2 linked regions of the Sus scrofa genome follow. The protein of the gene in region 2 interacts with the protein of the main gene of each other region in a biochemical or structural test. Links are inferred from orthologs where the notes say so. Each region holds a gene or a part of one and is shown on either strand. Other genes may lie near its edges. The genes, in order: PQBP1 and WBP11.

The links.
Region 1: the proteins of WBP11 (region 2) and PQBP1 form a complex in vitro, tested with the Homo sapiens proteins (2 studies listed by BioGRID and IntAct, with this or other methods). The link is inferred for Sus scrofa from reciprocal best matches to the Homo sapiens genes WBP11 and PQBP1.

Annotation. Positions count from the first base shown.
Region 1 is NC_010461.5:42,975,272-42,979,557, reverse strand, and holds the start of PQBP1 (polyglutamine-binding protein 1), read right to left. Parts: upstream 2,913-4,286; 5' UTR 2,894-2,912; coding exon 2,827-2,893; intron 1-2,826. Other genes in the region: TIMM17B (mitochondrial import inner membrane translocase subunit Tim17-B), read left to right, coding at 3,513-3,685. UniProt on the Homo sapiens protein: Intrinsically disordered protein that acts as a scaffold, and which is involved in different processes, such as pre-mRNA splicing, transcription regulation, innate immunity and neuron development.
Region 2 is NC_010447.5:57,748,375-57,752,889, reverse strand, and holds the start of WBP11 (WW domain-binding protein 11), read right to left. Parts: upstream 2,943-4,515; 5' UTR 2,739-2,942; intron 1,033-2,738; 5' UTR 975-1,032; coding exon 911-974; intron 384-910; coding exon 352-383; intron 1-351. UniProt on the Homo sapiens protein: Activates pre-mRNA splicing. May inhibit PP1 phosphatase activity.

The sequences.
Region 1 (4,286 bases), on a different chromosome or scaffold from region 2:
ACGAAATCTGGCTAGGACCCTGAGGTTGCAGGTTCGATCCCAGGCCTCGCGCAGTGGGTGAAGGATCCAGTGTTGCCGTGAGCTGTGGTGTAGGTCACAGACATGCCTCGGATCTGGCGTTGCTGTGGCTGTGGCGTAGGCCGGCAGCTGTAGCTCTGATTCGACCCCTAGCCTGGGAACCTCCACACGCCGCGGGTACGGCCCTAAAAAGCAAAAAAAACAAAAAAGTGTATCCGGAGTTCCTGTTGTGGCGCAAGGAAATGAATCCAACTAGGAACCATGAGGTTGCAGGTTCGATCCCTGGCCTCGCTCAGTGGTTAAGGAGCTGGCATTGCCCTGAGCTGTGTGTGGTGTAGGTCCCAGATGCCACTTGGATCTGGCGTTGCTGTGGCTGTGGTGTAGGCTGGCAGCTGTAGCTCTGATTAGACCCCTAGCCTGGGAACCCCCATATGCTTCAGGTGTGGCCCTAAAAAAAATAAAAATTAAATAAAAAACGTGTATCCATGTTTGTTTAGTTCCTGTGTTCAGACAGTATGTGACACCCTGCTATCCAAATCTTTTTTTTTTTTTTTTTTTTTTTTGGTCTTTTTGCTATTTCTTGGGCCGCTCCCGCGGCATATGGAGGTTCCCAGGCTAGGGGTCCAATCAGAGCCATAGCTAGCCACCGGCCTACGCCAGAGCCACAGCAACGCGGGATCCGAGCCGCGTCTGCAACCTACACCACAGCTCACGGCAACGCCGGATCGTTAACCCACTGAGCAAGGGCAGGGACGGAACCCGCAACCTCATGGTTCCTAGTCGGATTCGTTAACCACTGCGCCATGACGGGAACTCCCCAAATCTATTTTTATGTATCGTTTTGTCTTTTTAAGGCCACACCTGTGGCATGTGGAGGTTCCCAGGCTAGGGGTCAAATTGGAGCTGTAGTTGCCACTCCAGGCCACAGCCACAGCGACACAGGATCCAAGCCCCACCTGAGACCTACACTGAAGCTCATGGCAATGCCAGATCCTTAACCCACTGAGTGAGGCCAGGGGTTGAACCCGCGTCCTCATAGATACTAACTAGGTTTGTTAACTACTGAGCCATGACGGAAACTCCCCGCTATCCAAACCTATTTGGACAAAATTAGTTTGAACAGCAAAGGTTTTATCTAAAAACGTCCAAATTCATTCAGTTCTCCAGCTTGGCAAATAGGGAGTTTCTGATTCTAGTATATTGAGTAGCAAGTTTGGAGAGCAAGGCATTTATCCAAACACTGCTCTGAATATATTCAGCTCCTGAGACCTGCAACTGTTTTCAGTTACTATCAACAGAATAAAAAAGGTGTATGAGTGGGGGTTCCCATTGTGGCTCAGCAATAACGAACCCGACTAGCATCCACGAGGACGAAGGTTTGATCCCTGGCCCTGCTCAGTGGGTTAAGAATCTGGCACTGCTGTGAGCTGTGGTGTAAGTCACAGATGCAGCTCGGATCTGGCATTGCTGTGGCTGTGGCATAGGCCAGCGGCTACAGATCTGATTCGACCCCTAGCCCGGGAACTTTCATATGCCGTGGGTGTGGCCATAAAAAGACCAAACATTTTAAAAAAGGTACATGAGTACCTGGACCTCAGTTGGCCGATCACAGGTTTCAACTGTGTATACAGCTAACAATGAAATGTCTATTTCAGCAATAACATAGTGCCTGTCACACAATAGGTCCAAAATAGATCATCAGCTATAATCATTAGTGTTGTTAGTAAGAAACGTACCACGGGCACAAGGCCCGGTATTCAGTAAGCTTAAAATAAATATCAATGACCATTATCCGTATTATTAACCAAAGATCTATGCTTGGCACACAACAAACCTGTAATAGATGTCACCTGTCAATAAAGTGAAAATGAGTTTTCCAGTACACGGCCACACCTTAGCCCAAAATAGATGCCAACTTTTACTGTAATGACAGTAAGGTATAAATACTGGCAACGGCAGCACAGCAGGCCAAAATGACAGATCCTATCATTATCCTTGTTTTGTTTTTTGTTTTTTTGCCTTTTCTTGGGCCGCTCCCGCGGCATATGGAAGTTCCCAGGCTAAGGGTCCAATCGGAGCTGAGCTGCCAGCCTACGCCAGAGCCACAGCAACGCCAGATCCGAGCCGCGTCTGCGACCTACACCACAGCTCACGGCAACGCTGGATCCTTAATCCACTGAGCAAGGCCAGGGATCGAACCCGCAACCTCATGGTTCCTAGTCGGACTCGTTAACCACTGCGCCACGACAGGAACTCCCCTACCATTATTTTACATACTGTAAACCATAATGCATATGCCAGCCACTTAAGCAGACCCGAAATACATGTCAGTTATTGAACTGGTGAACAAGTCGGTATATATCGCCTGAACAGTACCTGGCTCTACAGTAGATCTGAAAAAAATGTTACCTACTAGTATGGTAAAGAACAAAATATCAGCCTCCTCCCACTGTATTTGGTCCAAAAGAGGCTGTAATAGATGTCAGTTTACTATTAATATCCTTAGATACTCTTCCAGGGATCGATTGGATTAAATCTGGCGTATGAAGATCCAAGATAAGCATCAGCTGTCAGTATTAGGTACGACTAAAGCTGAAATGTCTATTCCCTGCCCCACCCCCACCGTAGGCGTCCGCGCGCACGCGGTAGGAATCGGCGTCAGGAATACGTATTGTTTACAACAAAATGTCTGCCAGCCCACTGCTTGGTATATAGTAGGCCCATACTAGGGATCGAGTGGCAATATCAACAACAAAGTGCCTGTCAAGCCTGGCACATGGTAGGCCCATCTGCTCTTAGCTCTCTCACCGGGCTCGAGATGTTTGAGGATGCCTCTCTTGGCCAAGCGGGTCTGCAACGCAACGGGCAGCGGCATAGCGGGTAGCAGACAGACCTAGGGAAGGACAGACGAGAAAGCAGTTCAGATAAGGATTTGAATCTGGAGCTCGTAAGCAAGCGCCTCTCCCCAACATGCACTCATCTAGACTCCCACCTACCCACCTGCACCAGGAGCTGGGCAACAGAACCTACCCGCTAAAAGGTGGAAGGGATAAACGGCAGTATCACCGAAATTCTCGCCAACTCTCCTCTCCAGGCGGGGTGCTCCGGGACAGGACTCCTCTCCCAGGCCTCCTCTCCCAGGCCTAGGCTCCACCCATCGCCGAAGGGGCCAAGCGCCGCTCCCCCGCGCCCCAGAAATGGGCTCACCCAACGTCCCCCAAAGACTGCCGGGTGGAAGGAACCAAGGAGCAGGGGTGGGGGGAGCAGGGTTTCCTCTAGCTCCAAAAAATGCGCCCACCCCGACATTACCAATACAGTCACGCGGGTTGCGGAAGGCTGTCAGACTGTCGGCCTCTCTCTCGACGCCTTTATGATCGCCAGGACCACGACTCTTTTTCTCCTGAGGGAAAGAATGAGGCCCTCTCTCCCTGAGCCAGAGGTAACTGGGCGACGCTCGGGCTGCAGAGAACAGATGACGGAAACCTAACTGGCCAATGAGAGTGCGCCTTGGCCTGACGTCTGGCGAAAGGACCCAATCATTACCTTGGAATAGGTGGAAAGCTCGGGCGCCTGTGTGCGTTTACAGTGGGGGTGTGGCCCGGCCGGGATTTAGCCAGACTGCGCGGCCGGACGCCGGCGCCATGGAGGAGTACGCTCGGGAGCCTTGGTACGGCGAGGGGCACAGGCCTCGGGACTCTTGCTGCGGCGCCACGGCCAGCGGTGGGAGGCGGGCGGGGGAGGCGCTGGCTACACAGCGCCACGTCCCAGACTCGGGAGACTTTTAAACGTTTGTTGTCTCCTTCCGCTCCCGTCCACTTGTTTCCTTACTTGGGCTCCGTTAAGAGGGGCCACAACTGTGTGCTTGAAGGAGCTGGTGCGGTGCAGGACGAACCACTCCACGTTTCCCTTGACTCTTGTCCCCGGTCCCTCTTGTTAACGGAAAGAGACACGTTGGTCGAATCCATTCCAGCCGGGGGGTGGTGTGTTGCTAGGCGGAAATCCCCAGGGTTACCGCGCGTGGTTTTTCCCAGGTCCCTTTGGTGAATGGAGGCGGGGCTTGGGTGAGCCCACTGTGGGCAAGGAGGGGGTGTCGGATCGTCCCCACGGTCTGCAGCTAGGTTTTTCCTCCCTCGTGCAAGGTGAAGAAAGGGAAGAGCGTGGCTGGACGAGCTCATTGTCGGAGGAGGGGGTGCGACCCCCGTTGTACTTTACAGTGCCAGCTTGTTAACACTTCCGTAGCGCTTATTTAAACGTGCCCACTCTTTGCT
Region 2 (4,515 bases):
GGCATAGGCTAGCAGCTACAGCTCCAATTCAACCCCTAGCCTGGGAACCTCTGCATGCCACAGGTGCGGCCCTAAAAAACCAAAAACCAAAAAACTATGTTACAATAATCTGTCTGTAACTGTATACTTCAGTTTGCAAGTATAGTATTTTGGCTTACAAAAAACAATGTAACTGTATACCTCAGTTTGCAAGTATAGTACTTTGGCTTAGTAAATCTTATGGTTTGTTATGAGAAGCATAATGTATCTTTTCTCAAAAACAACTGGAAATGTTTTCTAAATCCACTCATTGCAAATAATAAGATGTGCCAAACTACACTTATATCTAATAGGATGCTTCTGAAGTCATACCTTCTTTAATTCTCTCTTCCGAGCTTCTTTTCCTTAAGAGAGGGAGACAGAAAGAAAATAAAACTTTCAAGTCTTGAACATTAGCATTTTCTCCAATTTAATACAGATAATTCTTTAACGTGGGAGGTTGACCCTGGGCACTGTAGGATTTAGCAGCACTCCTTGATTTTACCCATTAGAGGCCAACAGCACCCTTCCAATTACATCAACCCAAGATGAATCAAGACATTGTTAAGTCCCTCAAAAAATAGCTATGATTCTGAAGAAAAAAGATGCCAAAAAATACTAAACAAAAACTTAAAAACAATTTGTTTAAAATCCCAAATACAAAAAGAAAGCTTTAAGCCAATTCTACTTTGAAAGTCAATCAAATTAGAAATACAGGTGCTACTTTTTTTGGTATGCTTAAAGTTTTAATCATGTGCCCAAGAGAACAATAGGTAATTTTATAACTGATACTTCCTAACACTGCTGATCTCTAAGGCTTAAAATAGACTTCCTAAACCTTGTGATTTTTACCACTTCTCCTCCTTATCATTTCACATTAATGGATACTTACTGGCTTGGTCTGTGGGGTTCATAAATTTTCCACTCTTGGTGGATGATGTTGATCTCCGTCCCATGTTGACAATTTGTACGGTTTACTTGTTTAAAAAAAAAAAAAGCCCAAAACCTAAAAACCTGTAAAGACAAAAAAAAAGAAACAAACAAAAAACCACACTGATTTTTCCTATATTTACAAAATTTCTTTTTATACTGATAAAATTTTCTTCCTACTAAACTCTGAAAAGAAACATTTCTTTGATTGAGACCTTATTCTTTCCCTAGTCTTGACTTTAGTGCCCAGGAAAGATAGTCTCAACTTCCCCAACAGATTCCTATTATTATTTACAAAGGTAATGAGCCTGAAGATCACTATGAATATCAGTTAGTCGTCAGTTAACTTTCTTCTATGGATCACAATACTGACTCATCAATAGAAAAAAAAAAATCAATCAGAAAACGCTTCAACAATATGACATGAACCATGTGCATGAGAAGCTATTAGTTCTTTTCCTATATCCTTCCTGTATTTATAGGCAGGGTGAAAAGGAATAAGAAGGGATGGTGTGTGTGTAAAACTGGGCTCAACGACAAATAGCTCACCCTTGCCTCTTTCATTGGTTTCCTGGCATGTTTTCCCAACACCTCTAAGACAGTAAAAACTCATTAATTTAAGCCTATTTAATGCAGATTTAGAATTCAGATATAATTCTTGACTCTCAAGCAGAAGCTTAAAACATAACTAAAAACACAAATATTCAAAATGAAAGTATATGAGAGCTTCTAAACACATAAACATCAAGATACATATTTTTCTTACTAATATCAACTTGACTTCTGATTTGTATTTTTTTAAGGTCACTGGAAGCGTTAATTGTGTTTGAGGGAAAATACTTTGTAAGTCAAAATTTTAATTAATTTAAGACACTATTACACTATTTCTTCCTGTTATTCCAAATGAATGAGGTTTAACTTTTTGATGCTTGCTCTTGAAAATAATAAAAGGTGGAAAAGAAATCATGAGGTACACTTTTTTAGCAGACCATGTAAGTCCCCCTTCCCTTCATGAAGGTTTTTTTCAGGCAAGTTTATTAGTTAATACCTCTTTCGGCAAGTGTTCAACTGCCTGGATTTCTGCTAAAAAGCTTCAAAACTGTTCCAGTAACAACTAATTCACCCTGTCAAGGGCTTCCTTCTCACAAAAACTGGGAGTGAGGGGCGAAAGGAAGCGGAAACAAGCAAAATTGGTGCAAATACAAGCTCTCGCATCTTTGATGGCTTTATCTTTTCTGCTTTCCTCTCTCAATTACCCTCAGGCTTAGGTGTTGACACTCCTCTCCCCAGCCTGAAGCCTAAAACAGGTACGAAGTACAGAGAATTTTTACAGAAGATGCTGGAGCCTGACTATGCACAAACTACTTTCCTGTCTAAAAGCAGAGGCGATAGAGACATCGGGTCACGGGCTGTTCAGCGGAACTCTCAACCTCCAAAGAGGCTTCAAAGGAACGGAGCCCAGGTCCAACAAGGGGCCAACAGTATTAGCAACTGCCGAAACCATAGCGACGGTTGACCCTGATTCCAGGTATAGACATCACATCAAACCTAAGGCAACCCGGTCAACGTCAGGAGGCTCCGCTGACCAACCCGGGAGAAGTCAGGCGCTTGACCGCCGGACGCTGCTCCGTTCCAGGCTCGGGGATCCCCTAGTTCCCGGTCTGGTAGACGCTAACCGCGAAAAGGAAAAGCGGGGGCACAGGGGCCTGGCGTTCCCGGGGCAACCGCGCGGGCCCCAGGAAGGGACCCGAAGGATGAAGAACCACAGGGGAACGATCCCGCACACTCACACCTCTGCTGGGCTCCTGGGGCTGTGAGAAGCGGGGAGGGGACGATTCTTGGCCTGTTTGACTTCGCAGAGGCCTTCACCTCTGCCTCTCGGTCAGCCACCCAGCCACCGCCATCTTGAAACCTCGCGCCCCTCCGCCATCCTTACGTCACTTCCTCTCCATACGGGCCGACAATCTCATCGTTTCGGCGCCCTGAAACCATAGAGAGTAACCGACAACTCCAGGACCAGAGTCTCTTCCGCTGGAGTACAGTACCGAATTGGTTGGTCGGGGCTGAGAGCCCGCCCTCATTACTCAGTGCAGTGCATGTTGATTGACACTCCTATAGCCCAGTTAAGAATAAGAAAATTAAGCGGGTGGGATATATGATTGGCTGATGCGACGACAGTCCTACCCTCAGGCATTCTGACCTAATTTCCGGGATCCGCATTTATTTCACCGCCTGAGGCGGGCGGAATCCGGATGGGGAAGTTTAGCGCCGTTTGTGTTACCGGGGATTGTGTTTCTGTAGTTTCTTTGATCATGACCAGCGCTTGCCGTCTTTTGAGAGTTTCTGTTTAAAAAAGAATCCCGGGCGTTCCTGTCGTGGCTCAGTGGTTAACGAATCCGAGTAGGAACCATGAGGTTGCGGGTTCGATCCCTGGCTTTGCTCAGTGGGTTAAGAATCCGGTGTTGCCGTGAGCGTGGTGTAGGTCACAGACGCGGCGCCGATCCCGCCTTGCTGTGGTTCTGGCGTAGGCTGGGCCGCTATAGCTCCGATCTCCCATTCGGAGCCTGGGAACCTCCATATGCCGCGGGAGCGGCCCAAGAAATGGCAAAAAAGACAAAAATAAATAAATAAAATGAAATAAAAAAGAATCCCCCAAGAACACTTCTTGCTGTGCTTGATGCACTTGCCTAACGTGGTGTGCGCCTGGAAATTCAGTAGTTTTTACACAGACCATTTGTAGACCTGAGCAAATCGGTGCCCATATCAGAGTCCCAGATTGCTGCAGGACTATTTTTCTTTGAAGAGGGAACGTGGGGTACATGTACAGTCAGTTTTAAGTTTACGAGTTGTGAGATTGATTTATGTCAGCTCTTTTCTGCTCTTTTCATTCACCAAAAATCCTTTATGATGTCACTGTGCTAACGGACTTAGTTCCTTAGGTCTAATCTCAGTCCTTTTCCTTCGCTTTTATGGGCTCTTTATCTGAGAGTCCTCCCATATCTTTTCCTTTTAAAGGTAAGTTTAAATATTTAAGAAAATATAAGGACACCTTGGTTATTTCTCCCCTTAATCTTTCCCTTATAGGGAAATGTTAACACAGGCCAAGTCTTATTATCGGTTATAAATATGCCAAAATCTTGACGGAGGTATATAATTAACTTTTAGAGAGTATTTAAATAGGCATTTAACCTGTAAAGTCGGTCCCTTATCTAAAGGAACTCTTGCTTTAGAAAACACTTGATTTGGTTTTAGTCTGAATTTTGAGTCCCAGAAGAACAGTTAGTTACAAGATACATGTTTATAAATCAGGTAAAAAACATGAGATAAAACTTAATTTTGAAGGTGAACTAAATTGTGATATTTTGCAACTAATTTAAAAAAGCAGTGACAGAAGAGAAAGAACACGAAGAGTACACTTGAAAAACTATTTCATCTGGCTTTAATTTTTGAGGTATGTTGAACTTTTAAAATTACACAAGACATTTCTTGTACTTCAATGCAAGAATCAAGTATAACAAACACACTCTTGCATCAATAACTTTTAAAATAATTTTGTAAGTCTCAACG